Xenopus tropicalis: one gene and its partner. The protein of the gene in region 1 purifies or fractionates together with the protein of each later gene. This does not show direct contact. Links are inferred from orthologs where the notes say so. Each region holds a gene or a part of one and is shown on either strand. Other genes may lie near its edges.

The links.
Region 2: the proteins of smndc1 (region 1) and sf3a3 purify together in Homo sapiens (affinity purification with mass spectrometry; 3 studies listed by BioGRID and IntAct, with this or other methods). This does not show direct contact. The link is inferred for Xenopus tropicalis from reciprocal best matches to the Homo sapiens genes SMNDC1 and SF3A3.

What each region holds. Positions count from the first base shown.
Region 1 is NC_030683.2:2,912,235-2,928,273, forward strand, and holds smndc1 (survival of motor neuron-related-splicing factor 30), read left to right. Parts: upstream 1-1,204; 5' UTR 1,205-1,244; intron 1,245-2,732; coding exon 2,733-2,852; intron 2,853-4,437; coding exon 4,438-4,580; intron 4,581-4,957; coding exon 4,958-5,119; intron 5,120-9,972; coding exon 9,973-10,126; intron 10,127-10,617; coding exon 10,618-10,755; 3' UTR 10,756-12,271; downstream 12,272-16,039. UniProt on the Homo sapiens protein: Involved in spliceosome assembly.
Region 2 is NC_030678.2:83,811,765-83,827,803, forward strand, and holds the end of sf3a3 (splicing factor 3A subunit 3), read right to left. Parts: intron 13,200-16,039; coding exon 13,108-13,199; intron 11,938-13,107; coding exon 11,855-11,937; intron 11,431-11,854; coding exon 11,292-11,430; intron 10,648-11,291; coding exon 10,579-10,647; intron 9,630-10,578; coding exon 9,562-9,629; intron 9,217-9,561; coding exon 9,109-9,216; intron 7,758-9,108; coding exon 7,688-7,757; intron 7,341-7,687; coding exon 7,176-7,340; intron 6,346-7,175; coding exon 6,235-6,345; intron 3,827-6,234; coding exon 3,736-3,826; intron 3,538-3,735; coding exon 3,482-3,537; intron 1,892-3,481; coding exon 1,814-1,891; 3' UTR 1,660-1,813; downstream 1-1,659. UniProt on the Homo sapiens protein: Component of the 17S U2 SnRNP complex of the spliceosome, a large ribonucleoprotein complex that removes introns from transcribed pre-mRNAs.

The DNA of each region.
Region 1 (16,039 bases):
GTATTAACCCCAGATATGATATACATACGGGTGCGTTGGACTACAACTCTCAGAAGCCCCAAGATACCCTGAGAGTTATAGCAGAACTGCCCCACATCCCAGTAGAAAGTAACAGTACAATCACATACCCTATAGAGCAGGGGGTAGAACTGCCCCACATCCCAGTAGAAAGTAACAGTACAATCACATACCCTATAGAGCAGGGGGCAGGGGGTAGAACTGCCCCACATCCCAGTAGAAAGTAACGGTACAATCACATACCCTATAGAGCAGGGGGTAGAACTGCCCCACATCCCAGTAGAAAGTAACAGTACAATCACATACCCTATAGAGCAGGGAGTAGAACTGCCCCACATCCCAGTAGAAAGTAACAGTACAATCACATACCCTATAGAGCAGGGGGTAGAACTGCCCCACATCCCAGTAGAAAGTAACAGTACAATCACATACCCTATAGAGCAGGGGGCAGGGGGTAGAACTGCCCCACATCCCAGTAGAAAGTAACAGTACAATCACATACCCTATAGAGCAGGGAGCAGGGGGTAGAACTGCCCCACATCCCAGTAGAAAGTAACGGTACAATCACATACCCTATAGAGCAGGGGTAGAACTGCCCCACATCCCAGTAGAAAGTAACAGTACAATCACATACCCTATAGAGCAGGGGGTAGAACTGCCCCACATCCCAGTAGAAAGTAACAGTACAATCACATACCCTATAGAGCAGGGAGCAGGGGGTAGAATAGACAGGTTGAGCCTGAAACAGCAAAAAGGAATACAAAACAGAATGTCTATACTGTCCAATTGCATGCTGGGTATTGTAGTTTTATATCATTACTAGCTGTAGGCTAATTGTTACATACAAACTACATTACCCAGCATGCAGTGGGACAGGCACACTAGAGGGGAAAAAAAACTTTGGCTACTTTATAAACTACAAACCCGCCAAGGCTCCAAACAATAACCCAGAACTGTACCTTGGGCTAGTAGCCCAATTTGGCGGGAAAACCACCAACCCGACAACCCTCACACAGACTCTCTCACAGGCGGCTCTCGTATTCTTGCCCCTCCCCCTAGAGCGCAACCGACGCCACTTTGGCTTCTCCCCTGGTCGCCATGGCAACCGTCTCTGCGTGCGTAAGAGCCGGGGGCGGGGCGTCTGGGCAAGTGCGAGAGCCCGGAATTCTCGCGAGAAGAGGAGGGGCTGCCGGGAAGTGAGTGTTTGTGAGACGGAGAGCGACGCGGTGAGTGACCGGAGCGGGAAACCGGGGGATTGGGCGGCTGAGCGGCCCGGGGCTGGGTTACTGAGGGTCGGGGGGGTCGGAGTTGGCTTATAGTGTGGTGCTGGGCAGCCCCTGTCTCTATAGCGTTACCCCCGGGGCGTCCGGCCTCATGGGCCTTGTACTGTGTGTCTGAGCCCCCCCCCCCCATCCCTCCCCCCTACCGACACCCCATTGGCCACTTATGTTTGTACTCACCCCTCATTCACTCGGAACCGGGACTGGTCCTGTAGTTTGTCCCCAACCCATTCCTACTCATTCCTGTCCCTTATCCCTTCCCTCCCACTGTCTGAGGGAAACACTATGGCACCTCCTACCCATATGTATAAATACAAATATACAGAGAGGGAATGTTCTGGGCACACAATAAGCTGTACCCCCATACTGTACTGTCTAAGGGAAACACTATGGCACCCCCTACCCATATGTATAAATACAAATATACAGAGAAGGAATGTTCTGGGCACACAATAAGCTGTACCCCCATTACTGTACTGTCTAAGGGAAACACTATGGCACCTCCTACCCATATGTATAAATACAAATATACAGAGAAGGAATGTTCTGGGCACACAATAAGCTGTACCCCCATACTGTACTGTCTAAGGGAAACACTATGGCACCCCCTACCCATATGTATAAATACAAATATACAGAGAGGGAATGTTCTGGGCACACAATAAGCTGTACCCCCATACTGTACTGTCTAAGGGAAACACTATGGCACCCCTACCCATATGTATAAATACAAATATACAGAGAAGGAATGTTCTGGGCACACATAAGCTCCACCCCCATACTGTACTGTCTAAGGGAAACACTATGGCACCTCCTACCCATATGTATAAATACAAATATACAGAGAAGGAATGTTCTGGGCACACAATAAGCTGTACCCCCATACTGTACTGTCTAAGGGAAACACTATGGCACCTCCTACCCATATGTATAAATACAAATATACAGAGAGGGAATGTTCTGGGCACACAATAAGCTGTACCCCCATACTGTACTGTCTAAGGGAAACACTATGGCACCCCTACCCATATGTATAAATACAAATATACAGAGAAGGAATGTTCTGGGCACACAATAAGCTGTACCCCCATACTGTACTGTCTAAGGGAAACACTATGGCACCCCCTACCCATATGTATAAATACAAATATACAGAGAAGGAATGTTCTGGGCACACAATAAGCTGTACCCCCATACTGTACTGTCTAAGGGAAACACTATGGCACCTCCTACCCATATGTATAAATACAAATATACAGAGAAGGAATGTTCTGGGCACACAATAAGCTGTACCCTCATACTGTACTGTCTAAGGGAAACACTATGGCACCTCCTACCCATATGTATAAATACAAATATACAGAGAAGGAATTGTTTTATTCTCTAATATAAAGTGACTGTACATGACTGATTCCCGTTGCTGGTTCCTTGCAGATGGCAGAAGATTTAGCTAAGCAGCTGGCGGGTTACAAAGCCCAATTGCAACAGGTTGAATCTGCGTTAACGGCCAATGGCGAGAATGAAGATTTACTGAAACTAAAGAAAGATTTGCAGGTAATTCCCTTGTTAATAGCGTGGCCTGTGGCTTCTGTTTGCCCTGCCCGGCCAGTAAATGGGATAAAGGTCTAAGCCTTATTCTCCTCTGTTTTATTACTGCTCCCGGTGCATTTCCAGTGCACAATCCCCATTTTTATTGTCCTAAAGATCTTGTTTCCCCTTAACCCTTTGGGTGCCAGTAACATTTAGGGACACTTGTCTCTAGGCAACATGGTTTTGTCATTGCCTGTAACGTAATGCAGAAATGTATTCAGGTCTGTGGAGTCTACGTTTTGTGTCAGGAAAGCAGTTAAAGGAGAAATTAACCCTCCTAGAAGGCATATGGAACAGACCCACTGCCCTAACCAGATGCCCTGCCCAATCATACGTGACTAAATTAAAGGGGTGTGTTTGGTGGCGGCCATGTCTGCTCACAACACTGGCACAAATTGCCAACATGGAGGGTTCAAACTGGAAGCCAGTAACAGATTCACAGGAGGGGGAGGAGACTCCATGCAGGGGGCCAGATACTTACTACAAGGGTTTACTTCTCCTTTAGAACAAATCCACCATTCTGGCAGGATTTGTCCTTCAGGTCTTTATTATGGTTCTTCTTCCTCCCAAGGGCTCCAGTGCCTTTTTGTGTATTATTCAATCCTAGGAAAATTCCTTCCAAATATCTGATATATTGCCGGTCATTCTACAGGCAGCAAACTAATGCTTTATTAGATTGTAAGCTCTTGATGTACCATGTCGGTGGTAAGGAAGCAAATCTCGTCAGTTGTAGAGCTGCTTGGCACGGCTATATACAGCAGCACAGTTATTTCACTTGGAGCATAAAACTAGTACTTTACCTATTCCAGGAGTTGGATCTGTATTTGGCCAATATTTGGATTTGACTGCACCTTTATTTATGGTCATGTGGTTTTAAAGTAACCGACAGCCGGATGTCCAATCCCTTGTGGGGTGTTTGGCCAAATCCAAAATAATGGATTGTGTAGCCCTTAAAACAAGGTTTTATACCCCAGATGTTGCCCACTGAGTGTAGGCAGCTAAACTGGAGGGTCCATGTCGGCCTTCACCTCCTTGCAGTGAGGGTCTCTGACCCTGGACCTGAGCTGTGCTCCCCGCTTCCCTCCAGCAGTGGGTGCTGTTGCCATTATCCCACAGACAGAGAGGAGTCTTGGGATTTGTCCCATGTGACTAGAGAGAGTGCAGTGCACGTGGGATCATGTGATGCACCGTGTGGCAGTCAGATGCACTCAGTATTTTGCACAATTGTTATTCTTACCCCAGAAATGTGCCACCGACTTCCAAGCTTTATGCCCAATTGGCAATGATGCCCCCGTACGCTGATATCATTAGATGCACAGCTATAGCAATGCCCTGCAGCCAATCAGAAGCAGCTTACTGGTGCCAGGCCTGTGAGCCTCTGTGCCAAGGAACCAACACTGCTGTGTTCTGCTGGGCATGTAGGGAGCAATATAGGGCACCCTGTCTTGGCTTTATAAATAGATTTAAAGGGTAAGGATACCCTCGCTTACCTAACATGGAGACGGCGCCAGTATCCATGCGGAATTTCCCACTCGCTCTTGTCTTTCAGGAAGTGATAGAATTAACCAAAGACCTTCTATCCTCACAACCCTCGGAAACGGCAGATGATGCCTGCGACGACATGTCCGCCAGCGGCAGCCAATCATGGAAGGTTGGAGAGAAGTGCATGGCGGTCTGGAGCGATGATGGACAGTAAGTGCAGTGAGCTGTATATGGGTGATATGGTAAGCTTTGCTGGGGCCTTTGGTCTGGCTATCGAATGTCTACTTGCTCTGCACTCCATTCGCCCAATCCTGCAGGGACTCACTTGCTTAGTTGGGGGGGTGTTTATATTACGTGAACACCGTTTCATTGTAATGCAATTTGCCGACTCTCTGAAACGCAATTGATCTTGCTGGTGTTAAACTGCTTTGTCTTTAATACAGCATAAAGCCCCCCCCCCCCCCCCCCGTTCATTCTGTTACCCATAATAAGCCCCCCAAGCCTAGGTTTGCTTTGCAGCGTTTAACATTTCCTCGTTGCCTTGCCAAGCCTTTACTCACATGCTTACAGCCATGATATCTTTACAGGTGGTACGAGGCGGAGATCGAGGAAATAGACGAAGAGAACGGAACTGCGGCCATAACCTTCGCTGGCTATGGCAATGCCGAAGTCACGTCTCTGCTCAATCTGAGGCCGGTCGAGGAGGGGAGGAAAGCCAAGGAGGACAGCGGCAATCTGCCTATGTCAAAGTATGTTTCCATTTCAGCATAACACCTCACTTATTTGCCCCCCACCAATAACGCAAGTGTCCAATAGTGGCAGAGATTTTACATCATCAGGCTCTCGGGCCACCTTTTTAGCACTTCAAAAATATTTAGTTCTATAAAGACCTTATTTGCAATTAAATAGTATTAAACGTAAAGTACATGATAGAATGTTGTATGTTGTATAGAAGGTTCAGGTAGGTTAATAAAATCCCATCTGAAGCTGCTCTGATTTGCCGCAGAGGGGTAAAAAATTCCTTCCTGATTTCAAGATGGCAATTGGACCAGTCCCTGGGGCAACTTGTACTAAGAGCTATCTCCCATAACCCTGTATTCCCTCACTTGTACTGAGAGCTATCCCCCCTACCCCTGTATTCCCTCACTTGTACTGAGAGCTATCCCCCCTACCCCTGTATTCCCTCACTTGTACTGAGAGCTATCTCCCCTACCCCTGTATTCCCTCACTTGTACTGAGAGCTATCCCCCTACCCCTGTATTCCCTCACTTGTACTGAGAGCTATCCCCCCTACCCCTGTATTCCCTCACTTGTACTGAGAGCTATCTCCCCTACCCCCTGTATTCCCCCTCACTTGTACTGAGAGCTATCCCCTACCTGTATTCCTCACTTGTACTGAGAGCTATCCCCCTACCCCTGTATTCCCTCACTTGTACTGAGAGCTATCCCCCTACCCCTGTATTCCCTCACTTGTACTGAGAGCTATCCCCCCTACCCCTGTATTCCTCACTTGTACTGAGAGCTATCCCCCCTACCCCTGTATTCCCTCACTTGTACTGAGAGCTATCCCCCCTACCCCTGTATTCCCTCACTTGTACTGAGAGCTATCTCCCCTACCCCTGTATTCCCTCACTTTGTACTGAGAGCTATCCCCCTACCCTGTATTCCCTCACTTGTACTGGAGCTATCCCCCCTACCCCTGTATTCCCCTCACTTGTACTGAGAGCTATATCCCCCTACCCCTGTATTCCTCACTTGTACTGAGAGCTATCTCCCCTACCCTTTATTCCCTCCTTGTACTGAAGCTATCCCCCCTACCCTGTATTCCTCACTTGTACTGAGAGCTATCCCCCCTACCCCTGTATTCCCTCACTTGTACTGAGAGCTATCCCCCCTACCCCTGTATTCCTCACTTGTACTGAGAGCTATATCTCCCCTACCCCTGTATTCCCTCACTTGTACTGAGAGCTATCCCCCTACCCTGTATTCCCTCACTTGTACTGAGAGCTATCCCCCCTACCCCTGTATTCCCTCACTTGTACTGAGAGCTATTCCCCTACCCTGTATTCCCTCACTTGTACTGAGAGCTATCCCCCCTACCCCTGTATTCCCTCACTTGTACTGAGAGCTATATCTCCCCTACCCCTGTATTCCCTCACTTGTACTGAGAGCTATCTCCCCTACCCCTGTATTCCCTCACTTGTACTGAGAGCTATCCCCCTACCCCTGTATTCCTCACTTGTACTGAGAGCTATCCCCCTACCCCTGTATTCCCTCACTTGTACTGAGAGCTATCCCCCTACCCCTGTATTCCCTCACTTTACTGAGAGCTATCCCCCTACCCCTGTATTCCCTCACTTGTACTGAGAGCTATCCCCCCTACCCCTGTATTCCCTCACTTGTACTGAGAGCTATCTCCCCTACCCCTGTATTCCCTCACTTGTACTGAGAGCTATCCCCCTACCCCTGTATTCCCTCACTTGTACTGAGAGCTATCCCCCTACCCCTGTATTCCCTCACTTGTACTGAGAGCTATCCCCCCTACCCTGTATTCCCCACTGTATGAGAGCTATCCCTCCTTGTACTGAGAGCCTATCTCCCATAACCCTGTATTCCCTCACTTGTACTGAGAGCTATCCCCCCTACCCCTGTATTCCTCACTTGTACTGAGAGCTATCTCCCCTACCCCTGTATTCCCTCACTTGTACTGAGAGCTATCCCCCCTACCCCTGTATTCCCTCACTTGTACTGAGAGCATCTCCCCCTACCCCTGTATTCCCTCACTTGTACTGAGAGCTATCCCCCCTACCCCTGTATTCCCTCACTTGTACTGAGAGCTATCTCCCCTACCCCTGTATTCCCTCACTTGTACTGAGAGCTATCCCCCCCTACCCCTGTATTCCCTCACTGTACTGAGAGCTATCTCCCATACCCCTGTATTCCCTCACTTGTACTGAGAGCTATCCCCCCTACCCCTGTATTCCCTCACTTGTACTGAGAGCTATCTCCCTACCCCTGTATTCCCTCACTTGTACTGAGAGCTATCCCCCCTACCCCTGTATTCCCTCAACTTGTACTGAGAGCTATCCCCCCTACCCCTGTATTCCCTCACTTGTACTGAGAGCTATCTCCCCTACCCCTGTATTCCCTCACTTGTACTGAGAGCTATCCCCCACCCTTAACCCCCTGTTAATTCCCCCTCCTCACTTGTACTGAGAGCTATCTCCCCATACCCCTGTATTCCCTCACTTGTAACTGAGAGCTATCCCCCCTACCCCTGTATTCCCTCACTTGTACTGAGAGCTATCTCCCCTACCCCTGTATTCCCTCACTTGTACTGAGAGCTATCCCCCCTACCCCTGTATTCCCTCACTTGTACTGAGAGGCTATCTCCCCTACCCCTGTATTCCCTCACTTGTACTGAGAGCTATCTCCCTACCCCTGTATTCCCTCACTTGTACTGAGAGCTATCTCCCTACCCTGTATTCCCTCACTTGTACTGAGAGCTATCTCCCCTACCCCTGTATTCCCTCACTTGTACTGAGAGCTATCCCCCTACCCCTGTATTCCCTCACTTGTACTGAGAGCTATCCCCCCTACCCCTGTATTCCCTCACTTGTACTGAGAGCTATCTCCCATAACCCTGTATTCCTCACTTGTACTGAGAGCTATCCCCCCTACCCCTGTATTCCCTCACTTGTACGGAGAGCTATCTCCCTACCCCTGTATTCCCTCACTTGTACTGAGAGCTATCCCCCCTACCCCTGTATTCCCTCACTTGTACTGAGAGCTATCCCCCCTACCCCTGTATTCCCTCACTTGCTAAATACTTATCCAGCCCCTTCTTGAAACTATATAATGTATCTGCCAGTACAACTGGGTCAGGGAGGGAATTCCACAACTTCCCAGCCCCCCCTGTAACTCCCCTTCATTGTACCTATATAATGTATCAGCCAGTACCACTGATTCAGGGAGGGAACCCCACAACTTCACAGCTCTCACTGTAAAAAATCCTTTGCGACAATTTCATTGGAACCTCCCTTCTAAACGGAGTGGGTGCCCTTGTGTCCGTTGGAAGGCCCTACTGGTAAATAAAGTATTAGGTTATTATATGATCCCCTTATATATTTATACATAGTTATCATGTCACCTCTTAACTGCCCCTTCCCCAGTGTAAACAGACCCAACTTGGCCAGTCTTTCCCCATAACTGAGACTTTCCATACCCTTTACCAGCTTAGTTGCCCTTCTCTGGACCCTCTCTAACTCAATAATGTCCCGTTTGAGCACTGGAGACCAAAACTGAACAGCATATTCTAGATGGGGCCTTACCAGCACTCTGTAAAGGGGAAGAATAACCCCCTCCTCCCGTGAATCTATACCCCTTTTAATACAGCTCAATACCCTGTTTGCCCTTGCAGCTGCTGCCTGGCATTGCTTGCTACAGCCAAGTTTATTATCTACAAGGACTCCAAGCTCCTTCTCCATTATGGATTTGCCTAGTGCAGTCCCTTTAAGGGTATAAGTGGGGGCATATTTTTACATCCCAGGTGCATGACCTTACATTTATCCACATTAAATCTCATCTGCCACTTAGCTGCCCAGATTGCCAGTTTGTCAAGATTCTTCTGCAAGTTGCCACACCCTGGGTAGAACTGGGCTGCAGAGTTTTGTGCCATCTGCAAACACTGATACATTACCCATAATCCCCTCCCCTAAGTCATTTATGAACAAGTTAAACAAAAGTGGACCCAGTACAGAACTTACTCCCAGTAGAGAATGTGCCATTAACAACCCCCCTCTGTTGCCAGTTTTCTATCCATGTGAAAACGACTTCACTAAGACCAATAGCCCTAAGCTTAGAAAGCAGTCGTTTGTGGGGAACGGTATCAAATGCTTTGGCAAAATCCAAATAGATTATATCTACTGCCCCCCCCCACTGTCCAGCTTCTTACTTACCTCATCATAAAAAGCAATTAAATTGGTCTGACATGACCTGCCCTTCATAAAGCCATGCTGATTCCTACCCATAATGCCATTCTCCAGTACATATTTTTGTATGTGATCCCTTAACAAGCCTTCAAATAACTTGCCCACCACGGATGTCGAATTTCAGGCCTATAATTGCCCGGCTGGGATCTTACTCCCTGTATAAATATAGGAAAGACATTCGCCTTCTTCCAATCTACTATTAATATACTTAAAAAACTTTTTGGGGTTAGTTTTAGCCTCGGCCGCGATGCGCTCCTCATTTTCTATCTTTGCCTTCCGGATTGCTGTTTTACATCACTTGTTATAGTGTTTATATTCATTAAACACTGTCCCCTCTGACTTATATTTCTTAAAAGCTTTCTAGGTTTTGTCTCACCTAGTAACCCATAGCAACCAGTTAGATGTTCTTTTCAGTTAATGCTACCTGCTGATTGTTGCTAAGGGTTTTACTGAGTAGTAATATTATGACCATTAGTTATATAACCCCCGCACTGTGCAAGAAAAAAAAAGGTATTGGGCAGATGATAATTTAGACTGGGGCAGTTACTGAGTTGAGGCCCTTGTGCTGGTTGCCTAGGAACTCTCTTACCCCCTTTCATTTGGTTGGGCAGGAAAGAGATGATCGCTGCCCAGAGAGAATATAAGAAGAAGAAAGCGCTAAAGAAAGCCCAGAGAATAAAGGAGCTGGAGCAGGAGAGGGAAGACCAGAAGGTGAAATGGCAGCAGTTCAATAACAAAGCCTACTCCAAAAACAAGAAAGGCCAGGTAAGGTTCTGCCTGCCCTGTATTCCTACCTTCATATTGGGTTATGTTTATTATTGTAAGCCCTGCTGCCCTCTAGTGGTTAAATACAACTCATGGCTGGTTGGAGGATCATGGGATTGATCATAACACCTTGGCCTTGTTCTATGGCTACACTGTTCCCTCTCCTGTACCTGAGCCCACTGACTAACTTGCCTCTTTCCATTCTTACTCAGCACGTAGCTGTGTAATTGCCCCTGGGCTGCCAGTTATATGTGCCTGTGAGAATATTAACCTTTCTATTGAACTTGTGTGAGTGTTTCTTGTGTTACATCAAGGCCAGTCAGTAATGGCCACAGACCTGGGCATTTAGCTGTGTGTCCGGCTGAGAGAGAGAGGCTTTTGGCTCTCCTAGAACTTATCCTTTTATTGGCTACGGCCCAATTATCCCCTGGGCAGAGGACGTTCTGCCATTCTCGGATGTTTCCATTCTGACCCATCTGCTCTTGTTTCAGGTCAAGAGAAGTATCTTTGCCTCCCCCGAGAGTGTGACAGGGAAGGTGGGAGTGGGCACGTGTGGCATTGCAGACAAACCCATGACACAGTACCAGGATACGTCCAAATACAACGTGCGGCACCTCATGCCCCAGTGACGGCGGGACTGGCCGGACGGATTCTCTGCTGGGCTTTGCATTTTATCAATATATTTTTCTAAAACTAAATTATTGGCTGTTGTATGAGGAACATCGAGGCGGCGGTCTCCTTTCACTTTAAGAACTGTCTCCTCTGATTTCATGTCCCTCTCTCAGCCGCAAGAGTGATGGACTGGGGGTGCAAGGTGATTAATGTGCCCGATGCCCCCCACTTACAGGATGCAAATCTGTCACCTCTTTACCTGCAGCACCGATGCTCTTTGGACTCAGCGTGGGGGGGTCTGCCCTGTTTGGTCATTTGTGCCCCAGGGGTAGGGTTCTGCAGGGTCACGTACTGGCAGCATCTAATGGAGACACAGTGCACAATGGGTTAAATGATGGGGCATTTGGTGCCCAGTTAAAAGCACAAAGCTAGAGGTTGACAAACTGTTGGTCGTTCCTAGCCGCTGTTGGGATGCGGTGCTGCCTGCTAGGGTGATCGCTAGGGATTTACCTACCATAGTTACGGAAGTTGTGTGCCAGGTACCCTAGCTCTATTTAAAGCTGAACCCCCCCAGTTTAGGATTCCCACACAGACCAAAGCTTGATGCTGATTCTGGTCGCTCCGCGTAAGCTGCCATATTGGGTATTTGGGCAGCCCGTCATTCTGTATCCACTCGCTGACCCACACAGGCCAATAAATCCTCCGCCGGCCGGCCTGCCCAATATCTGGCCTAATAGATAGCAACTGAGCAGGTTTCATGTTCTTGCCCAATGGGATGTCGATGCAGGTTTAATCCACCTACAGGCCCCGCTCTATGGGTCAGCGATGGGATCAGCCCAAGGTGGCCAAACAAGTGGATCGGGCAGTGATTGGCCAATCCGCCGCCACAAGAGAAGGTTCCTGTCCGTTCCTCATACACAGTTGTAATTTGTGTAACAGTCGTAGGGCGAGCGCGTGGGCTGCGTGCCCTGTATATATATCGTTTTTGTACATAAAAGTCTCGTGGGTAACGATTGTGAGTTTGTTTTAATCCCGTGTGTAAATAGGGAATTGCCATTTTGTTACTAGAAAGCCCCTTGCAGGGGTTAAACCTTAATAGCCCTCCCACTCCATCCTCTCTCCTCCTGTGTGGTGCTAATACGCCCCCTAGAGTCCAGTAGCTCTAGCGCTTCTAATGAGAAGCTGATTGGCCGGGTTCCGTGCCTGATGTTCTGGACAATATTTAGCCGGGGCGGGAGGCTAATTTGGTAGCAGGGAACGTCCTGTGTGTTGGTTCCAGGGAAGAGCGAGTACAGAGTGTCCTGTGCAGATGCCAGCTGTGCCCCCCCTCATTGCCTGACCCGGTGCCAACGTATCCCTGCGCCTCACTGCTTCCCCCCCCCCCGGGCACTCTGGGTTTGTCTTTCTGACACCAACTGTACATTTTCCTATTGTAACTAAATGATGTTTTCTCACCTGTGGGAGGGGCAACATGGCGGGGGGTGGGGGGGGCGTGTTTTGTAAAACTGAAGAATAAAGGTTTCTTGTGCCAGACCCCCTGTATCCAATGGGCTTCTGTCCAAAAATGGTCCGAAAACCTGTGTTGTTGCCTTATTCTAGGCAGCTTACCAATATCCATTAATTTCCTTTGCACTGCTGGTTCTGACTCCTGATACAACTCCCCAATACCCATTCATTCCTCATTCTCACTGGGTTTATAGTTATGTGTCACTGTCACTGTGTCTGTCCCTTTCCCTTCTCTGCACTGCTGGTTCTGACTCCTGATACAACTCCCCAATATCCATTCATTCCTCATTCTCACTGGGTTTATAGTTATGTGTCACTGTCACTGTGTCTGTCCCTTTCCCTTCCCTGCACTGCTGGTTCTGACTCCTGATACAACTCCCCAATATCCATTCATTCCTCATTCTCACTGGGTTTATAGTTATGTGTAACTGTCACTGTGTCTGTCCCTTTCCCTTCCCTGCACTGCTGGTTCTGACTCCTGATACAACTCCCCAATACCCATTCATTCCTCATTCTCACTGGGTTTATAGTTATGTGTCACTGTCCCTTTCCCTTCCCTGCACTGCTGGTTCTGACTCCTGATACAACTTCCCAGTGGTGGGGAGACAATAGGGCAAAATTTAAGGTTTAAATGAAATAAAGTGTAAGTTCCAGCTGCTTGGGATGGACAGGGGGTGCTGGGAGTTACAGCTGAGGGGCTTTACCCCACCCACTGCCCCTGCTATAATATTGGGGTACAGCCTGTTCTGCCTGAGGTGCTGCCAGACACTTCCCTCCTCTGATGCCTTACTGGCTTGTTAAAGGGGTGGGGTCACCTTTCAGTTAACTTTTAGTATATTATAGAATGGCCAATTCTAAACGACTTTTCGATTTATTCCAGTTATCAAATGTGGGTCACTGACCCCGGCAGCTAAAACCTATTTCTCTGTGATTGTTACTTTTTATTATTTTTCATTCTATTCAGCCCCTCTCCTATAAATGTCTCTCATTCAAACCACTCCCTGGTTGCTAAGGTAATTTGGACCCTAGCAACCAGATAGCTGCTGAAACTTCAAAAAGTGAAATAATTACAAAACCACAAATAATTTGCAATTGGTCTTCATTTTTTATTATCTCAGAATATTACTCTCTACATCATACTAAAACTTAACTCAAAGGTGAACAGCCCCTTTTATGAAGTTGATCTTCTTACCCCACCATGTGAATGAATCCGCCCCCGGGGCGGCTGAGAGCCGGAGTAGCACAAACACATGCGCTGAGCCCAAAATAACCCCCGTGGGGCCGTTAAGATGAGGATTTGTGCTAATCTGGTGCCCTTAATCCACTCGGCCAAAGCCCCGCAGGCTCCTCAGCAGCCCCCGTGTCTGCCCACTAAGGCACCAAGTAACCGGCGTCTGGGGCCTGACAGTGGCATAAGGAGAAGGGATCGGCCCATCCATTTGTTCTGGGAGTTCCTGTCGTCCCTTTACTTCCACTGGGGCCTCTCTAGTCCAGAGCAGCCCCCATGGGAACAGTTGCTCCCATTCAGCCACAAGGGCATTAGTGAGGTTGGGCAGTGATGTTGGGGGTCAGGCTCACAGTCGGGGTTCCATCCCACAGGGGGTCAGTTGGGTTGCCCGTCCCCTTGCTGCTATAACTGCCCCTGCCCTTCTGGGAAGGTTCCCACTAGATGGTGGAACAGTGTTGCTGGGAGTTGCTCCCATTCAGCCACAAGGGCATTAGTGAGGTTGGGCAGTGATGTTGGGGTCAGGCTCACAGTCGGGGTTCCATCCCACAGGGGGTCAGTTGGGTCCCCCTCCCCTTGTTGCTATAACTGCCCCTGCCCTTCTGGGAAGGTTCCCACTAGATGGTGGAACAGTGTTGCTGGGAGTTGCTCCCATTCAGCCACAAGGGCATTAGTGAGGTTGGGCAGTGATGTTGGGGGTCAGGCTCACAGTCGGGGTTCCATCCCACAGGGGGTCAGTTGGGTTGCCCCTCCCCTTGCTGCTATAACTGCCCCTGCCCTTCTGGGAAGGTTCCCACTAGATGGTGGAACAGTGTTGCTGGGAGTTGCTCCCATTCAGCCACAAGGGCATTAGTGAGGTTGGGCAGTGATGTTGGGGGTCAGGCTCACAGTCGGGGTTCCATCCCACAGGGGGGCAGTTGGGTTGGGGTCAGGGCTCAGTCAGGTTCTTCCCATTCTGTACGGATCTGGCTCTGTGCATGGGGGGGATTATTGTGCTTAAACGGTAAAGGCCCCCCAAACTGTCCCACAAAGTAGGGAGCAGGGAATTGCCAGGAATGTCATTGTACCCTGTAGCCTTAAGGTTTCACCAGTACCTGGGGCCCAAACCATGGTAACAGCCCCAGCCCGTTATTCCTCCTCCTCCACCAAATGTACCCATTCAGCTCTAGAGTCCATATTAACAACGACCAATCGAATCTCTGCTTTCATTTACCCCCCCCTGTATCAGTCAGTGTGTGTAACCTGTGCCATTCTCATTTCTGATTGGTTGCTATCAGCTCAGTTTGGCCCTTATGTAATAACCTGTGATACAATACATTTCTGCCCAATGAGAGGCCCAAGACAATTTTTCTGGATCACTTTATTAGTGGTGCCGGGCGGCCCGATACAGAAATAACTACAGAACCAAATAAAATAGTGAATTCAGCAATAATAATAATAATAATAATTTAGTGTCAGAATTAAATTAGTTTCATAATTAAGTAGATAAGGCGGAGTCACATAATGCCTGTGAGTTGGATTAGGATGTGGAGGCGGAGTTTATAGCTGCCAGCCTGTGTCCCTATCTATAATTGGACTACAGTTCCCAGAAGCCACCTGGGGAAATACCATCCCAGCAGCTCTATCAGGGGGAGCCGAGGATTCTGGGATGTGGTTTGTAACAGATTAAAGGGGAACTCCACCCAAACAAACAGTGCAGCAGCCGGGCACTCTAGGTGTTCGTGCCAGATGATTGGCCCGTGCCACAGCAGCTCTGCCACACTGTGTGCCATCCCCCCAGATACCCGGGGGCCCCGGACGTCGCACAGGTGAATGCACCTTTATTACAGTTACATTGGCTTTCAATATGAAAAAAAGCAATGTTTTGGGTGAACTTCCCCTTTAGTGGAATGTCCCCTTTAGATTTGCCCTTAAGCAGAAAGTGAGGCCTATGGGCCCCAGGAAATGGGGCGATACCTTACCCAGAATGTACCCTTCCTGCCGGAGCTGCCATAGAGTTTAGTAGCAGAATCCAGGCACGAGCACTAGAGGGTGCTGCACCCACCCATGGGTGTCACTGCCCCTGCACAGACAGGGAATTACATGTTTTGACTTGCCCTTTAGCCGCAAGATGCCCCGCCCCCTCCGAGTCTTGCTGCTTGAGCTGGGGAATAGTTAATGGGGGCAAACTCTAATCACCCCCACTCTGGGTTGGAAAGGGTTTATGGGGGAGGCAGGGGCCACAGAGGAAATAACCAATCACCGCGCCTGCGCAGAGGCACCGGTGTGCGTCCAGCCTTGGATGCCCATTGGATGGCAAAGCTCTAATAGTACAAGCTGGGAGGGGCAAGCTGTGCCCCGCCCCCACAGAGTAAAAACTGCTCTCACTGCCCCGTAGGGGGCAGCGGAACGCACCGACCATTAGACAACTTACAAAGTTGAACATAAACTTGTCTAGAAGACAGTCCCACGTACGTGGCCAGGTAAGTACACCTGAGGGGCCCGCCCACTTACTGCACCTAGTGAGGGGCGGAGCCTTGCAACTCAATGCTCCCTTTCATAGTGTAGGGCTTTGTGTCCCAAGCCTGCCC
Region 2 (16,039 bases), on another chromosome or scaffold:
TCTGTTATGTTTTGTTTCCCCCAGTCTCCATTTCACACCTAAGGTAGGGGCCCCATTGGGGGATTGTTAACATATTAGTGGGGATTAGCATCTTATTGTTAGGGGACAAGTTTCTGTCTAACCCTAGAATAATATATTGTAAACATTTTTATTAAAAGGAAAAGTAAAGTTTTAGAAGCAGCAGTGCACCCTCTTTAATCACTTCACTGACACTTTCCGCAACTTATCTGTGCCCCCATAGCATGTCCAGAACTACAGAGCTGCTTGACAGCATTGGTCCCAACCTGTTCCCAGCAGTCATCTTGGTGATCAGCAAACAACACATGCAAACATCCCAAACTGGGATATTGGGGTACAAGGTTGGACTGGCCCAACAGCGCACTGGATAAAAACCCAGTGGGCCCTAGTCCTGTTGGAGCTCTATTCACCGGGCATGTTGGTGTGTGGGCCGGATTGCTGCTGCCCAGTAATGAGTAGGGGCTAGAGAATAAGGTATTTAGACCCTTAAATCTTGTTACTGAAGTGGAATTACACAGAAATATAGAAAAAAATGATTGTCCTGAAAAAAATTATGTATAGTTTCCTTGTGCAAACTAAAATCATCCCTCAGGAAATGCCCCCAAAGTGAAATGGCATATGAAATGCAAAATCCTGCTGGTAAAATCCTTATTCCAAGGCTCATGTAGATTTGGGACTGGGTTTGATGGCACCAACAAATTTACTAAGAGCTAACGGCAAATTCATAAAAAAATGTCGGGAAAATGACAAAATTTGAAAACAGTCTGCTTAAAAGACAAATTCACAAAAGTGGAGATAGAGGTTTGTGAATTAGGTGGAAAATCCCACAAATCTATCTCCACTTTTATTTTGTCTCAATATCACCACTTTTGTGAATTCCCCCCTATGAGTTGTTCAAGAGAAAAGCAACTATACTTAGGGGCAGATTTATCAAAGCGTTACATCTCCGTATAATTCTCCCCACTCTGCATTCATTCCTATGGGACTGTGTTGGTCCAAAAGTAACTTTAGAATGGATGAAGAACAAGGCTGCTAATGAGCAAAACCTTTTATTTGACAAAAAAAAATGATCTGTTTATTTTAAAAATATGTAACAAATGAAAGCCTTTAAAGTAGGATGTTTGTTTAAATACCCATAACTATGTAGGCAATATAAATATGGCTCCTGGTTTAAACATAAGCTTAAATGGTTTCTTACAAATAAGAGGTGGACTCCTGCCACAGAAGCACAGTAGGATGTGGGTAGCCAATCAAAGATCTGCCTTCACAGACACAGAGGTGGAGGTTCCCTCTCAGGTTTGCCTAACTGCTGGCTGCCCAACCATGAAATTGGATAGGCTGAAACCCTGCAGAGGAAAATGTGCACCACCAGATAAATAAGTCCACCAAACAATGGAATGGCTGCCCGATGCTAGTGAAGATTTTAGCGAAATGTATAATGCAATGGCAAATACTTGTTCTTGACCATATCCAGAATTGACCAGGTCCAGAATTCAGTAAATCAAATATTAGACCATGGTTCTCTAAATAAATATCACTAAGAATCTTGGATTCCCTTATTTTCTTCCCAGTCACTACATCTAATATGAATCAATGGAGCAGGATTACAAAATATGAAACGATATAAACAAACTGGCCTAATGCATTGAAAATTTTGCACATTTTTAATTAAAAAAAAAAAATTTGCATTTTGTAAAAGATGAAACGTTCAACAGCTTTGCAAATAGAAATGTCACATTAACAAACATGAAAATCCAGAACCATAACAGGGCAGTTAGAAACAAAATGTCCATGGTTACAGAAGTCCTTGACGCTTTAAATCTTCGTAGGTCTTCTTATTTACAACATTCCCACTGGAATCTTCGTATTCCTCCTATTCAAGTACAGAAAAAAAAACACTGTTCAATAGAGGCACAGTGTGTTTCATTGTCTCATACATATAAAACATGTACATAAGGAAATCCGGCAGTGAATAACTGTAGGTATATAAAGCATGTCATGAAAAATAAGATTTTACCAGAAAAATACAAGCGCATTATACTTAAAACTGATTTCCTTTTTTTCTGTAATAAAGCAGAACCTTTTACATGAGCCCATCTAAGATATCATTATTCCTTATTGGATGCAAAATAATCCTATTGGGTTTAATTAATGTGTTTAATGATTTTTTTAATAGACTTAAGTTATAGTGTTAAAAATTATGGAAACACAGTTTATCTGGAATACCCTAGGTCCCAAGCATTCTAGATAATGGATCCTATACCTGTACCACAAGTGGCACATAGTTACTTGGGGATAGGTAGTCACTACATCAAAGAAAAACACTATATAGCTATTTTTGCTGCAGCTCAAAATAAATCTCTGCTACCGTGGGTGACTAATGTCCCCAAAAAGCCTTTCCACTAGCAATAAAGGGAATCGGCGGTTGAAAGGCCTACGCATTGCTCCCTTTTTCCCCGTTTTGCCTGCAGGAGGAAACTGTGTGTGACTTTGGAAAAACAAAATGATGCATAGGCCTTTCCACCACCGATTCCCCCCGTGGGACTTTAGCCTAAAGGTTTATATTTAATCTCACAAAATTGGGACCACAGAAACTAGATAGCTGCTGTAAGAAAAGTAAGTAAGAAGAGTAAGAAAAATTATTCAGACCAATTGCAAATTGTCTCAGAACATCACTGAGGGGTCCCCCAAACTTTTTTACTCATGAGCCAGAGTCAAATGTAAAAAGACTTGTAGAGCAACACAAGCAGTATAGAAGTTCATGGAGGTGCCAAATAAGGGCTAAGATTGGCTATTAGGCAGCCTCTATGCACACTATCAGCTTACAGGAGGCTTTATTTGGTAGTAAATCTTGTTAAGTCAGGCATTCAAAAATAACTACCTGGTTTGGGGGCACAGAGAGCAACATCCAAGGGGTTGGTGAGCAACATGTTGCCCCTGAGCCACTGGTTGCGCATCACTGGTCTAAAGCCTACAAAAAGTTATTTTAAAGGTAAATTACCCCTGTTTGGAACTGCAATTACCCCTGCAAATATTTCTATGAAAACTGGATACGTTTAAAAACAAAACTGCAAAGCACTTTTCATAAGGACATCAAATATGATATGGGCCCAACAATGTTTAAGTATTTTTTTTTTTGGTTTCTATTTATTGTGTTAGGTATCCATGACTGCGGAAAACAACAGGTTTTGCACATCTGCATACAATAACCATGACATATCTGGTTATATGCTCAGGAGGAATTGTATGCACTTTGATAAATCCCAGTAGTCTTGATTTGCAGTAAATGACTTTCTGAAATTACAAACTAAAATGAACTAAAAGCAGAAAACATTACCACTTACCTTACTTAACACATTTACAACTTAATTTTTAATTCATTAGCAAGTGAAATGGCTACTTTACCATCCTGCAAATTATAGAGGTCTAAGTTTAAGCCAGTGTTAATACAGTAAGGACTCACCTCTGTATCAGGCTGCCATCTTTCAGAGGCCTTCTGATGCTTCAGCTTTGACCACACTATAAGTGAATGAATAGACAAGTATGTAATATATGCAAAATTGCTCATTAATAGGTTAGTTATAATTATAGGTTAGTTCTCTAATGTTTAATACAATTAATAACTGCAAAATTCCAGAGAGCAACAATTGGTAAGATAGGTGACTGATGAAATGAAATATGTGCTAGACTGAATTCATGAGAAAAAGCTTTACTTACAGGACACAGCATCCTCAATCTGTGTTACATTAGCAAAGTGTGCAGTGTTTGGAATGCCAAGACATCTCATGCCATGAGCATGACGCCATTCCTATGGATTGAAAGAAAACATAAGTCAGTCAGTACTGGGTCAGACACAGGAAGGGAAAAAAAAGTACAAAATGCTGCATTTCACCATGCCATGAAATGGATTTATAGGCCTCCAACTAGAGCTGAACTAATTTTATCTTATAAAAAACAATGGTAGGTGGTGTAGTTCAACTGACAATATGCTGCTTGAATGCCGCTTTCTTCTGGTTAAAATATAATATAATGTACAGCATCTCTGTAATGACTCCATCTTATCCTACATGCATTTCCTAGGAACCAGCTATGAATAAGCCATCAAACAGGTTGTTATCCTGTACTTTACTGAAGTGTTTAATGTCCAATAGCAATTTCATTCTGTCTTCTTTTTAATAAAGAAATAAGCTATGGGTTGTCACATACAATTTTTGTGACATATATACAGAGGTTTTCTGTTTAACAATCACTTTCTGCTCAAAAGGGAAACAAATTTTGCAGTACTAATTGGTTTTGCATGGAAAAGCATGCTCATATTAAACAAATGTTTTTATACATAGATAGCATGAATTTCAGTATTCAGTATTTTAATTTCAATGCTTTAGATTACTTTCTGATTAGCAGTAAAAAGGCTTTTTTGTAGTTTATAGAAAAACAACCTTTACAGTTAAGGTGATCAGAATACAGCTGTGTCTAAAAACACATGTTTTAGTCTAGTTTCAATACCCATTATAAAGTTCTGTACCACTCAAAAATCATAAAAAAATATTTATTTCAATCCATTAAAAACATTAACAACCCCACATGAATAGCCTAACGTGTTTTATGCTTACCTAGAAACTTAATTTAAAATGTTATTACTGTTCCAAATAAGGAGAGATCACAAAAATACATCTAAGTGTTAACAGACAGTGTCATCCCTTAGACAAGATGTGAAATAGTGGCACTCAGCTGTCCCTCCATATAGGCACAGCAGTAAATTCTTCCAGCAACCAAACTTGCATTTCCAGCAAGTAATTTTTTACTGCCATGCCAAGATTGTTAAATCTATCACAAACCAGTGAGCTGCAAAAATACAATTATGAAACTTAACAAATTGATGTGGGACTTTTTGCTTATATGTTACACTATCTTGTTGTCAAAACAGAGATTTACTTGCTGGCACCTCAAATATTAATTATGCTGTGGGGAATAAAGAAGAGGACAGAATAGTGCTTGTGGAGAGCAGATAACGAGAGATGAAAGAGAGCATAACGAAAGCAGCAAAAACAAGAAGATAGTGGCAAGACAAAGAATGGGAAGAGGGGGAACGGAATAGAAGTAAGAACTGAGAAAGCTACATGGAGAACAGAAGAGAATAGGGAAAGTGAAAAGTTTAGCTGGGAGAGAGCAAATATAAAAAAGATGGGAAAAAAGTGGAAAGGAAATAAAAAAAAAAGGATAATTTTAATCTGAAATGTTAATAAGCGCACTTCTGTAACGGTAGCATAACAATGTTCTTAAAACGTTTATAATTTTCTGGCTAAGGGGTCTTTCTTTAGTTTGCATCACCATTCCTTAAAGCAGAGGTTCACCAACTTTTTTTACCCGTGAGCAACATTCAAATGTAAAGAGCAAGACAAGCATAAAAAAGTTCCTGGGGTGCCAAATAAAGACTATTATCTATGTATCAACCCCTATGTGAAGGCTCTGATTGGCAGTACACCAGGTTTTTATGCATCAAAAATGTGCCTCCAAGCCAGGAATTCAAACATAAGTGGTTGAGGATCGCTGCCTTAACTAGCTTTTACACATGGAATAAAACCCAACAGCATTTCTGACATCCATATGGAGTGCAGCTTAGTTAATGCTGCTTTAATAACATAGATAGAGCCTAATAATTTAGAGACATATATCCAAATTGTAGACAGCCTGTTTCTATCTTATTAAAGCAGCCCTGGATGCATAGTTGGCCACAAAGTCATTGAGTAATCTCCTCCCACAATTCATTAAGTGAGGGGTAACTATTTTTGGTTATAAAGCAGTGCTATGTGTATGTATGTATGTATATCTTTATTTATAAAGAGCTACTTATGTACGCAGCGCTGTACAGTAGAATACATTAATACAAACAGGGGATTATTAAGATAATAATAGATAAATACAAAGTATAACATATACAGATAAATACAAGATAAATACAGTTGCAATAAGTTAAAGAGAGTTAAAGACACAAGAGGATGGAGGTCCCTGCCCCGTAGAGCTTACAATATATATAACTGAGGCATGTAAATGCCCTATGTTTTAGAAAGCCTTTACACTGCAAACCTGTGACGAGTACTATATAGAAGCGGCAGTCATCCCACATGTGAGGTACATAGTAATAAACAATCTATACAGTTTTGTAACAACCACTAACACGCAGAAAAAAAAAAAAAAAAAAAAAAAACACCTCACCGCAAAATGCCTCTGGAAAGCTTTGGGCCCTCTGTAGGTGAAGTTTCCGCAAATCTCACAGTTGTAGTTGATATTCAGGCCATGTAGCTTGTATAACCAATAAGGTATAGGCTGCAAAAATATGAATATATGAGCAACAACTACTTGAGTCAATTTCTTTTTTTTAATACTGTAAAATAAACATTACACAGTGCTAGCTACCCAGCTATCTCTAATGCTAAATCTGCAGGTAGTATTCTTTTCTATTGTGGAGGACAGAATTATGGCCTGCTGGCAGAACATGGGCACAGATTAAAAACATGTTTGAACTGTGTTAACTTCCCCCAAGTCCATGCCTGACTAACTGCAACTCAGCCAACTCCACCCATATGGACTACTTTTGCACTGCATTTCCATAAGTGTACAGTAACAAGTAAGGCCAACAAATTGGTGCAACTGGCAAAATCCAAGGTAAGGGTAATGTAACAATTTTAATCTAACATCTAATCTAACATTTTTTTCAACATCTAACTAATCTAATTTTATTTTTACAAATGCATTCTAATTACATTCTTTTCTAGGTTTTTCTTTTTTTTAAATGACTAGTGTGGCAGTTTCAGCAGTATCTATAGGAAATGCCTTGGATAAAACAAATATAGCGGTTCAAATCCAAATCCATCAAAGAGTTTTAATGTTGTATTTCCTTTTTTCAGTCAGATGTACCTATCCCTACTCCTGTTCCAAACATATGGATTAAGGTCACCTAGGCATCAAACGAACTATTAATAAAAATTGGTAGGTCGCTCATACTGGAAACCTTTCAGGTTACAAAACTCACCCCCCCCTCAAAAAAAACAAAAAAAAAGGACCACAGGACATAAAAATATGAATATGTACAAAGAGACCCTTTGCCCAATGCAATCTAAGTTGCATAACATGGTCACCCTTAACACCATGCTTACCTTGCCATCCCATCCAAGAGGAAGGTTTTTAGGGTTGTAAATAATCTCATTATCCTCATCATCACTCTCACTCTCACTGATCTGTTCTTCTTCTTCTTCTTCCCTCTCCTCACCTGTACGGGCTTGTTTACGCTGTACATTCTCATGGGTCAGATGTCTCTGTTCCTGAAAACCAAGAAAGTATGCATGGTTATAGACTAATAAATAACAGCAAAAGTTTAAGCCTAAATCAACATTGATAAATAAGTCTCCCCCATTTTGAAAATTACTTTTGATAAGGCAAGTGTCCATTTTACCTCTTTTTAATTTCATTCTATTTTATGGAAAAACTTTTCTGACTACATAGGCCAAACAGTTAAATAAATAGCACTGATCACCAGGCAGTCGAAAAACAAGCCAACAAAACAAACAACTTGGATTTAGAGGGGAGCTTGGAAATAGACACAGACAATACTGTGTGCAAGAATCTAAGGATCATTGTACATACAGTATTATTCATTATGGTTACTTACCCCTAGAATTTCAACATATTCATACACCTGAGCTTCAAGGAATGCAATGTCTTTGTTTTTCTCTGTGTCTCTGTATGAAAAAATGCAACATTTTATTAAACAGATTACTGTGCAATGAAATGCATATATTATCCTCTAATTGTAAGTAATGCCTACTGAAATCACTTACCACTGCTCAAATAGTACAACTTAGCAAGTCTTATACGTATAGCTGCAAATTGCATGTTTGTGTATGTACCTGTGTCATTCACCCAAAGAGATCAATATTTCACACCAAAGATCTCCCCTATTATACTTACGACATTCCCTGCTACACGGTTGAAGCGAATACAACTTTTCTGTACCTATAAACAGTCACTTTTTCTACTATTTAACAACCCTCGATTTCAAAGAGGGGAAACAGATTCCCAATTTGATCTGTGGAATCGCAAAAGGCAATGGTAGGATTATTACTAAATCCTTATACATTCTTAGAACTGCAAACAAAACAGTGACTCCCCAATAATATCTTTGCATAGCTAAAGATTAAAGGCTATGTAAATTTGGTGACAAAGTATAAAACCACAACTGTCTCATAACCCCCTAGATATACTAATAAGGGTTAATAAAGGGTGACTCCTCTTTGCATCAGGGGGTTTCTACCATCATAAAACCAATGATACATTACAACCTACGTAATAAGTTTTGTGGCCTTGTACCGCATTAGATGCCTTTTGGGGGAAATGTCTTAACACAAGTAAGCACACTGTGCAATATCCCCATTTCTCATACAAATCCACAGATACTACTAGGGTTATACCCTAAATGCACAGACAGCAGCAAAAAAAGGTTATCTTTTGACTGTTGATCTTTATGACTAGCAGAAATACTGGTCTTGAAAGCAATAATTCTATCCTAGAATGCTGAATGACCACATAACCTCCTTCAAAACAACTGTGGGAACGCAAACTACTATACACAATGCAACTTCAATGGGTCTTAGCACTCCAAGAAAGGCTAACATTTCTACCATGTCTGGAATAAATACTTAAGATACATCGAACAGCCGAAAACAGCATAAAGTACTAGCCCTCTTCCAATACACTAAATGGTGGGCAGAAGCTTCTCTTCTAGGTGAACTAAATAACCAGACGACAGGTCGTGAGAGTTACAATCCCGCTTCCTCTTCCCCTTCCATATAAAGATAAAAAAAAAAAAATGTACTATCATTTACACACCTTACTAAATGGCCTTCTCTGCTCCATGATCCCTCTTTTATCCTCTCATCATCAACAGATTGTAAACACAAAGCTAAAAATGAGGTTTCAGCTCTCACTGAAGACATCATGAGAGTAGAACTGCAAACTACATTTATACATAATTGTTTTAAAACAGCTGCAATCTGACTGCAGTGGAGTACAATCATTTATTGGCCCCCTTACCTGCGAGTTCCTTTCGCTTTAGGATTTTTTGCAAACAAAGATGGATCCAGAGACTCCAAAGATTTGCCTTTTGTGCTGAAAAGTCTTTGTGCTCTTTCTTCCAATGTCCTAGAAAGACAGAACAATAAATAAACTCCTTAAACGTAGACTTAACATAAGTCTTTATGATTATATAGAGAATCTGTTTTAAGTTATGCCCTTTTATTTTAAACTGTGAATGCAAAACAATTTGATACATGTTCACTTACATATTTAAACAATATAATGCATTGTGTGATACTAAAATGGCAAACCGCCATTTTGTTATACAACAGGAATCAAAGGCAAACAATCTACTGAATGCACATGCAATATAAATTCAATTTATTTAAACGTGAAAGTCAACACCAATATGTTTATGCTACAGCAGAAAAAAATTCTGTCTGCATTATCTATAACTGCAAGCTCACTTACCCTCCACATTTAAGGCCTAAAGCCATCAGTGCAGATTTTAATCTGTCAAGACCAAGAGAGGCCAACTCCTGCAACAAGAAAAATAATTTCAAACAAGTTTGTTGCAATATGACTTGGATAAAGCTACAAAAACCCAATTATGAACATCTTCTCCCAAAAAAAGAGATCTGTGTCTGCTGTAAAAAGCTCATGTTAATTAAAATGTCTTAAAAAAAATTTAGTGTTACCTTTCCTTTAAGTAAAAAAATCTATTCTACCCTGCCCCAATAATTACCTTATCCTGCACACCATTTATTATTTTGAATTTATTATAAAATATCTGCTAAAACTTGGCTTCCAGTCATTTGAAATAGGGAGATACGGAGATGCAGGGAAGAATCCACTATGCGACAATTGATTGATCGATCCTAGCCTTCCTTCTGTATAGGAAGGAGTCAGGCTAGGCTCGATTATTGGGGCAGGGTAGAATAGATTTTTTACTTGAAAATTTTGTGTTACTTTTCCTTTAAATACGCACCTGTAAAAATGTTTTATACACATATCCTATGAAACATCTTATATTTCCTTTATAAAAACAATGCTTTGGAGATACAACCCTCTAGCTACTAGCTAGTACACCATTATTTGAAGTATAAGTGAAAATTCCTCACAAAGCAGTTAATGACTTATTCTTCCATAATAAAAGACAAGGGCTGATGTCTCCACACATTTTAACATCAGAAGTAATGTCTCCATGCTTAAACTACTACAACGATTTGTGTTGAAATAAACACATCCCTAAAAATAGCACAAGGTTGAAAATACATTGTTTGCAGACTTCAGCAAGTAAAATGCCATCTACAAAAAAATCCATAATAGTGTTTTTACAAGCAGTGTAATTGTTTTTGCTGCTAGAAACCAACTGAAAAAAAATTGTACACGTCATAGAGATATTCCACAAATCTTCACTATGGATGTTTCTCTACACCCATTCTCTTTAATATTGTGGGAAAGATGAGAGGGCTTTCAAATACTTACCTCCCAAGAAGAGAAGGCTGACAGGTCCAGGTGAGCGCCAGCATGAGTGAGTGCGCTGCTTGTCTCTTTCTAAAAACAGCAACATTATCATTACCACAAGGCTCTTCTTATATTTTTAACATAGAAATACTCCTGTATATTAATAACATCTAGAATATATGCACACTCATGTGCTCAGACTTGGGGTTATTCCCTCATATTTTATGTATAACATTTGCTTAAGCTTCTGTTAATATTACAGCTTGATGAAAATATGCTTGTTACTTTAACCTAGATACAGTGCGTAAAACATTCAAGCAAATAATTATTCACCCATAAATGGCAAGAAAAATGTAATTCCTATTTCACATTAAATACAAATCTTTTTTGCTATTTTGATTCAAGAGTCATAACCAGCAGTTCAGAAATTAAATACAGCTACTGGTTAAATAAATAATACATTACATTTACAAATAACCTTAAAGCCACTGACAAACTTTCAATAAATGTATATAAGAGTTAGAGATATTTTTTTTTTTTTTTAATAACACAAAACAATTTTGGGTGGACATCCCCTTTAATATTACCTAATTTTGAACTAAGGGTCTAGGTCTATAAGAACCTCCACCCCAAGGTCGATTCATGAAAATTGGAGGTTACTTTACAAAATATACACTATAAAATTAGCAATTTTTTTTTTAAACACTACTATGGCACTACAATGACAAGTTTACCGGCCAGCCAGGAAATGCACCAGCCTCCCACTTCTTCTCAAACTCAATCTGTATTTTCCCAAAGAGCTCATTCTGATCCTGTAAAGGCTTCACCCGATCTGTATAGTCTTGAAGATATTCAAGAAGTACTTCCAAATACCTGTGGAGTAATTGTGGCAACAGGGATTTAGTCTATTATATAGATAAAAGAATTGGAGCAAAAGTACAAATTTCCAAGCTGCAGTGAATACAACATTTTGAAATCCATGTAACATGAGCTTGTTGGAAGAAATCAACCCTGTTCTCAAAGCTCTAATATTATATGTTTTTCAAAAACCTTGTGACCAGAACTCAATGCAAAGTTGCATCCCTAACAACTATTTTGTAAACTTATAAAATATACAGACAGATCTAAATGTTGTCAGACCCATTAACCCACCGATAATGAGTATTTTAGATATATTTTAGGTATAGCTACTATTTAAATGTGTATGTCTTTCTAAGAAGTTTAGGTTTACACCAGTATAGGCTAGAATGTATTTTGACCAATAGATACACATTATCACTTATTTTTAAGTACAAACCTTTTGTATTCTGCATTTTTCCTCTCTTTTGGAATGTCAAAAAGCTGGTCAAAGGTTGCAAGGTATGTGATATAATCTAATTTCTGAAGAAAGAAAACAAACAAACAAACATAAAACACAATACAAATTTTGCTATATACAGCATGCAAACAAGCTATATCATATATACATACACACAAGTATGGGATCCAGAAAGTTTTGAAATACAGGAAGTCCATCACACACACAATTTTTTTTATAATGGAGTCTAATTTTTAAACATGATTTCCTTTCTCTCTGTAATAATTAAACAGTGCATTATACTTGATGGTAAGATAATTAATCCTTACTGGTGGCAAAACAATTCTATTGCCTTTATTTAATGTTTAAATTATGTTTTTAACAGACTTGGTGTGGTGAACCAAAGTATGGAAAGATTCCATATATTTCTTGGTAGCTTAATGCACAGAATGTCTTAATCTTAATGTCCTATATATTGATAATAGGTTAGTGCAGGGGACCTTTTGTTTTTGTCTAAATGAATTTTGTTGGCCATAGTTGGCCAGCTTGAAATATATTGCAACATATGGAAAAACAATCCCTGTTGTCTAAAGGGCAGGGCTTTTTTTCAGTAGCTTAATTAGCAGAATGTTATAATATATATAAAATTGGTAAGTGCAGTGGACCTTTTGTTTTTGTCAGTATGAATGTTTTGGTCACAGCATCATTACACCCCTGCCTAATGGTTTATAAAATTGGTGAGCACAACTTTCCCTATATATTAGAATAGCATCAGGGCCATTTCCAAACACAGAATACAATGGAAAAAAAATGACTAGTGCACCAACATCTAATACACAGGGAACACATACACTGAATATTCAACAATACACTTACTACACGTAACTGAATCGCATAACAGTGTATGTTTGTTAAAGTAGCATTGCACTGAATGATCTAGTACTATTCATCTTCATCACCAGTTTTATGTGGTGTGTCATACAGAATAGATGTGAACAAATAGTTCAAGGGAGTGGGGTTGATGAAAGGTAGTATGTTAATGCAGTCATTGACTAAAAAGTATATCAAGCCGTTTTCATTCAGTCACGTTGTTCTCAAACAAATATATCATTTTAGGCCAAGAACAATCTTATAAAGTCATGGTACAAGTAAAGCAAAAATTATATCCTAAGAATGGCGCATTTTTATATACAGACTATTACTTAAGTATTTTGTTGCGAAATGCAGAAAAGTGATTTGCATTGAATTCTTACCTCTGAAGATTTGAGGTTAATATATTTCAGGTAGCAGTCATGGAGATCCATATATCTGCCATAGCCCTCTTCATCTGTAAATTCCACCAAATCTGTGTGGTACACAAAGAAGAAGGTCAGTGACCCCTACTCTAAAGCTGTGTGGTGCGCACTAAGAATTCTGTGCAAAAACACAAAATTTTGTATTTACTCTTACCAGAATATTCAGTTTTAAAAAGATGTGCACACAGGTTTAAAATATGTGTGCAAAATATTTTTTTTACACACATCCAAGAAGGAATTAGAGGGAACATTGGTGGTAGGAGCCCAAAAGGTCCCAAAAACTTAAATAAAAGACAAACTTTAATTTAACACACATTTTTTATTATATGATTTCTGTTCACCAAGACTCTTTTAGACTGCCTGAAACAGTCATTTTCTCCCTCGCTATTATAACATTTTCTTTTTAAATGTTAGGCATTACATATTGAGAATAAAGTCTTCATCAAGCTTAAAGGGGACCTGTCACCCTAAGAAATAATTACAAATTGTTTTATATTGTGTTTGTCAAGCAAAATAAACTTGAATTACACTACATACATTTTTTGAAACTTATTTCCTTCACCACTGGAATTCATCATTGCAGAAAACAGGCAGGCTCCATTTTGTGGACACTGTTATTAAAGCAAGCTGTGCATCCTGCCAAAATCTTGTGTATGTGCCAGAATGGGGGGGGGGGCTGATACCTATATCCATGCACTGGTTACAAAATTAGATGGTAAGGAAAGAGGGGGAATGTGAAAAGTGCAGTGACATCTAAGAAGTTCTGAATTGAAAGAGAGATTTTTGTACTTACCGTTAAATCTTTTTCTCTTGTCCTACGATTGGGGAACACAGGCACCATGGGGATGAAGATCCTGCAGCTTGGAGAATGGACACTAAAAGGTTAAAGTAGCTCCTCCTCCTGCTCAGGGCTTCGTCCCCCGCCTACTTCCTCTACTTGCCAGTTTGTTTTTTACCGAAGAAGGAAGGAAAAGGACCTAGCCGAGAATTGTAACCCACTCTTAGGAGAAGGAGCTCCCCCGGGAGACCCCCAACCAGAATGATTAACTGGATATAACTCAAAACTGTAACCCTTGAACTGTAGTAACTCGTATTAACATAGGGAGGGAAGGCCTGTGTTCCCCAATCGTAGGACAAGAGAAAAAGATTTAACGGTAAGTACAAAAATCTCTCTTTCTCTTGCCTACATTGGGGAACACAGGCACCATGGGGACGTCCCAAAGATTCCCATGAGGGTGGGACATCCAATGAACTCTTGGTGGTTCAAGGAATAACTGTCTAACACCTTCCTCCCGAAGCTAGCTTCGGCAGAGGAGTATGTGTGAATCTTGTAGAACTTCGAGAAAGTATGTAAGGAAGACCACACCGCAGCCCTGCATACCTGTTCAGCGGAGGCCTGATTTCTCATGGCCCACGAAGTGCTTAATGATCGTGTAGAATGAGCCCGGACCTGGAAGGGTGGTGGTCTTCCTCTGGTTGCGTATCCTCTAAGGATGGTAGCCCTAATCCATTTTGCTAAGGTGGTCTTGGAGGCCTTTAGACCCTTTCTGGGGCCTTCCGGTATAATGAAGAGGGTGTCCACCTTTCTAACCTTTTTCGTTGCCTCTATGTAAGTCCTAAGCGAGCGTACCACGTCTAGGGTGTGAAGTTTCTCCTCCTGATGGCTTTTGGGATTAGGGCATAGGGAAGGTACCACAAGGTCTTGGTTAAGGTGGAATTCCGAAACCACCTTCGGCAGGAATTCCGGTGTTGGTCGCAAGACCACCTTGTCAGCATGGAAGATGGTGAACGGGGACTTGTGAGACAGGGCTGAAAGTTCCGACACTCTTCTGGCCGATGTGATTGCCAGTAGAAAAACGGTCTTGGCTGTCAGTGTTGAAAGAGGGATGGAGTCCAGAGGTTCGAATGGATCCTCCTGTAGTGCCGACAGCACCAGATTTAGGTCCCATGGTGGGATGGGGTGTCTGTACGGAGGGGCGATCCGCAGGGCACCCTGTAGGAAGGTTCTTATGTTCGGTCGTAAGGCCAGCTGTTGTTGGTAAAGTACGGACAGTGCTGACACCTGTACCTTCAAGGAGCTGAGGGCGAGCCCTTTGTGGAGTCCCTCCTGAAGGAATATTAGAAGGTTGCCCTCTTCCAGGACCTGTGGGTCCCTGCTGTTGGTCTCACACCACGTGATGAATGCTTTCCAAATCCTGTGGTAAATGCGGGCTGAGACTGCCTTTCTTGCTCGCAGCATGGTTGGTATGGCTTCGCGTGGCACTCCTGTCCTGGCTAAAACTAGGGCCTCAAGAGCCACGCCGTTAAAGCCAGCGACTGTAAATTCGGGTGGACGCATGGACCCTGCGTCAGGAGATCCTCCCTGGCTGGAAGGGGGAGCGGTTCGTCTGCGGAGAGTTCTATCACGTCTGTGAACCATGGTCGGCGTGGCCAGTAGGGGGCCACCAGGATGGTGCTGATGCCCTCTCTTCTTATTTTCTTTATGACTCGGGGCAGAAGGGCCAGGGGTGGGAACACGTATACCAGCTCGAACTGCCACGGAACTACCAGTGCATCTACTGCCAGTGCTGATGGGTCCCTGCTTCTTGCTATGAATCGAGGTAACTTGCGGTTGTATCGTGATGCCATGAGGTCTACTTCTGGTAGGCCCCATCTTGCCACGATTTCCTGAAAGGCCTCTGGGTGGAGGCTCCACTCTCCCTGGTCTAGAGTTTGACGACTCAGGAAATCTGCTGTCCAGTTCTCTACTCCCGGAATGTGGACCGCGGAGATTGCAGGGACATTCTGTTCGGCCCATAGTAGGATCCTTTGTGCCTCTGCTAGTGCTCTTTGGCTGCGTGTTCCTCCCTGATGGTTGATGTAGGCCACTGCTGTCTGATTGTCTGTTTGT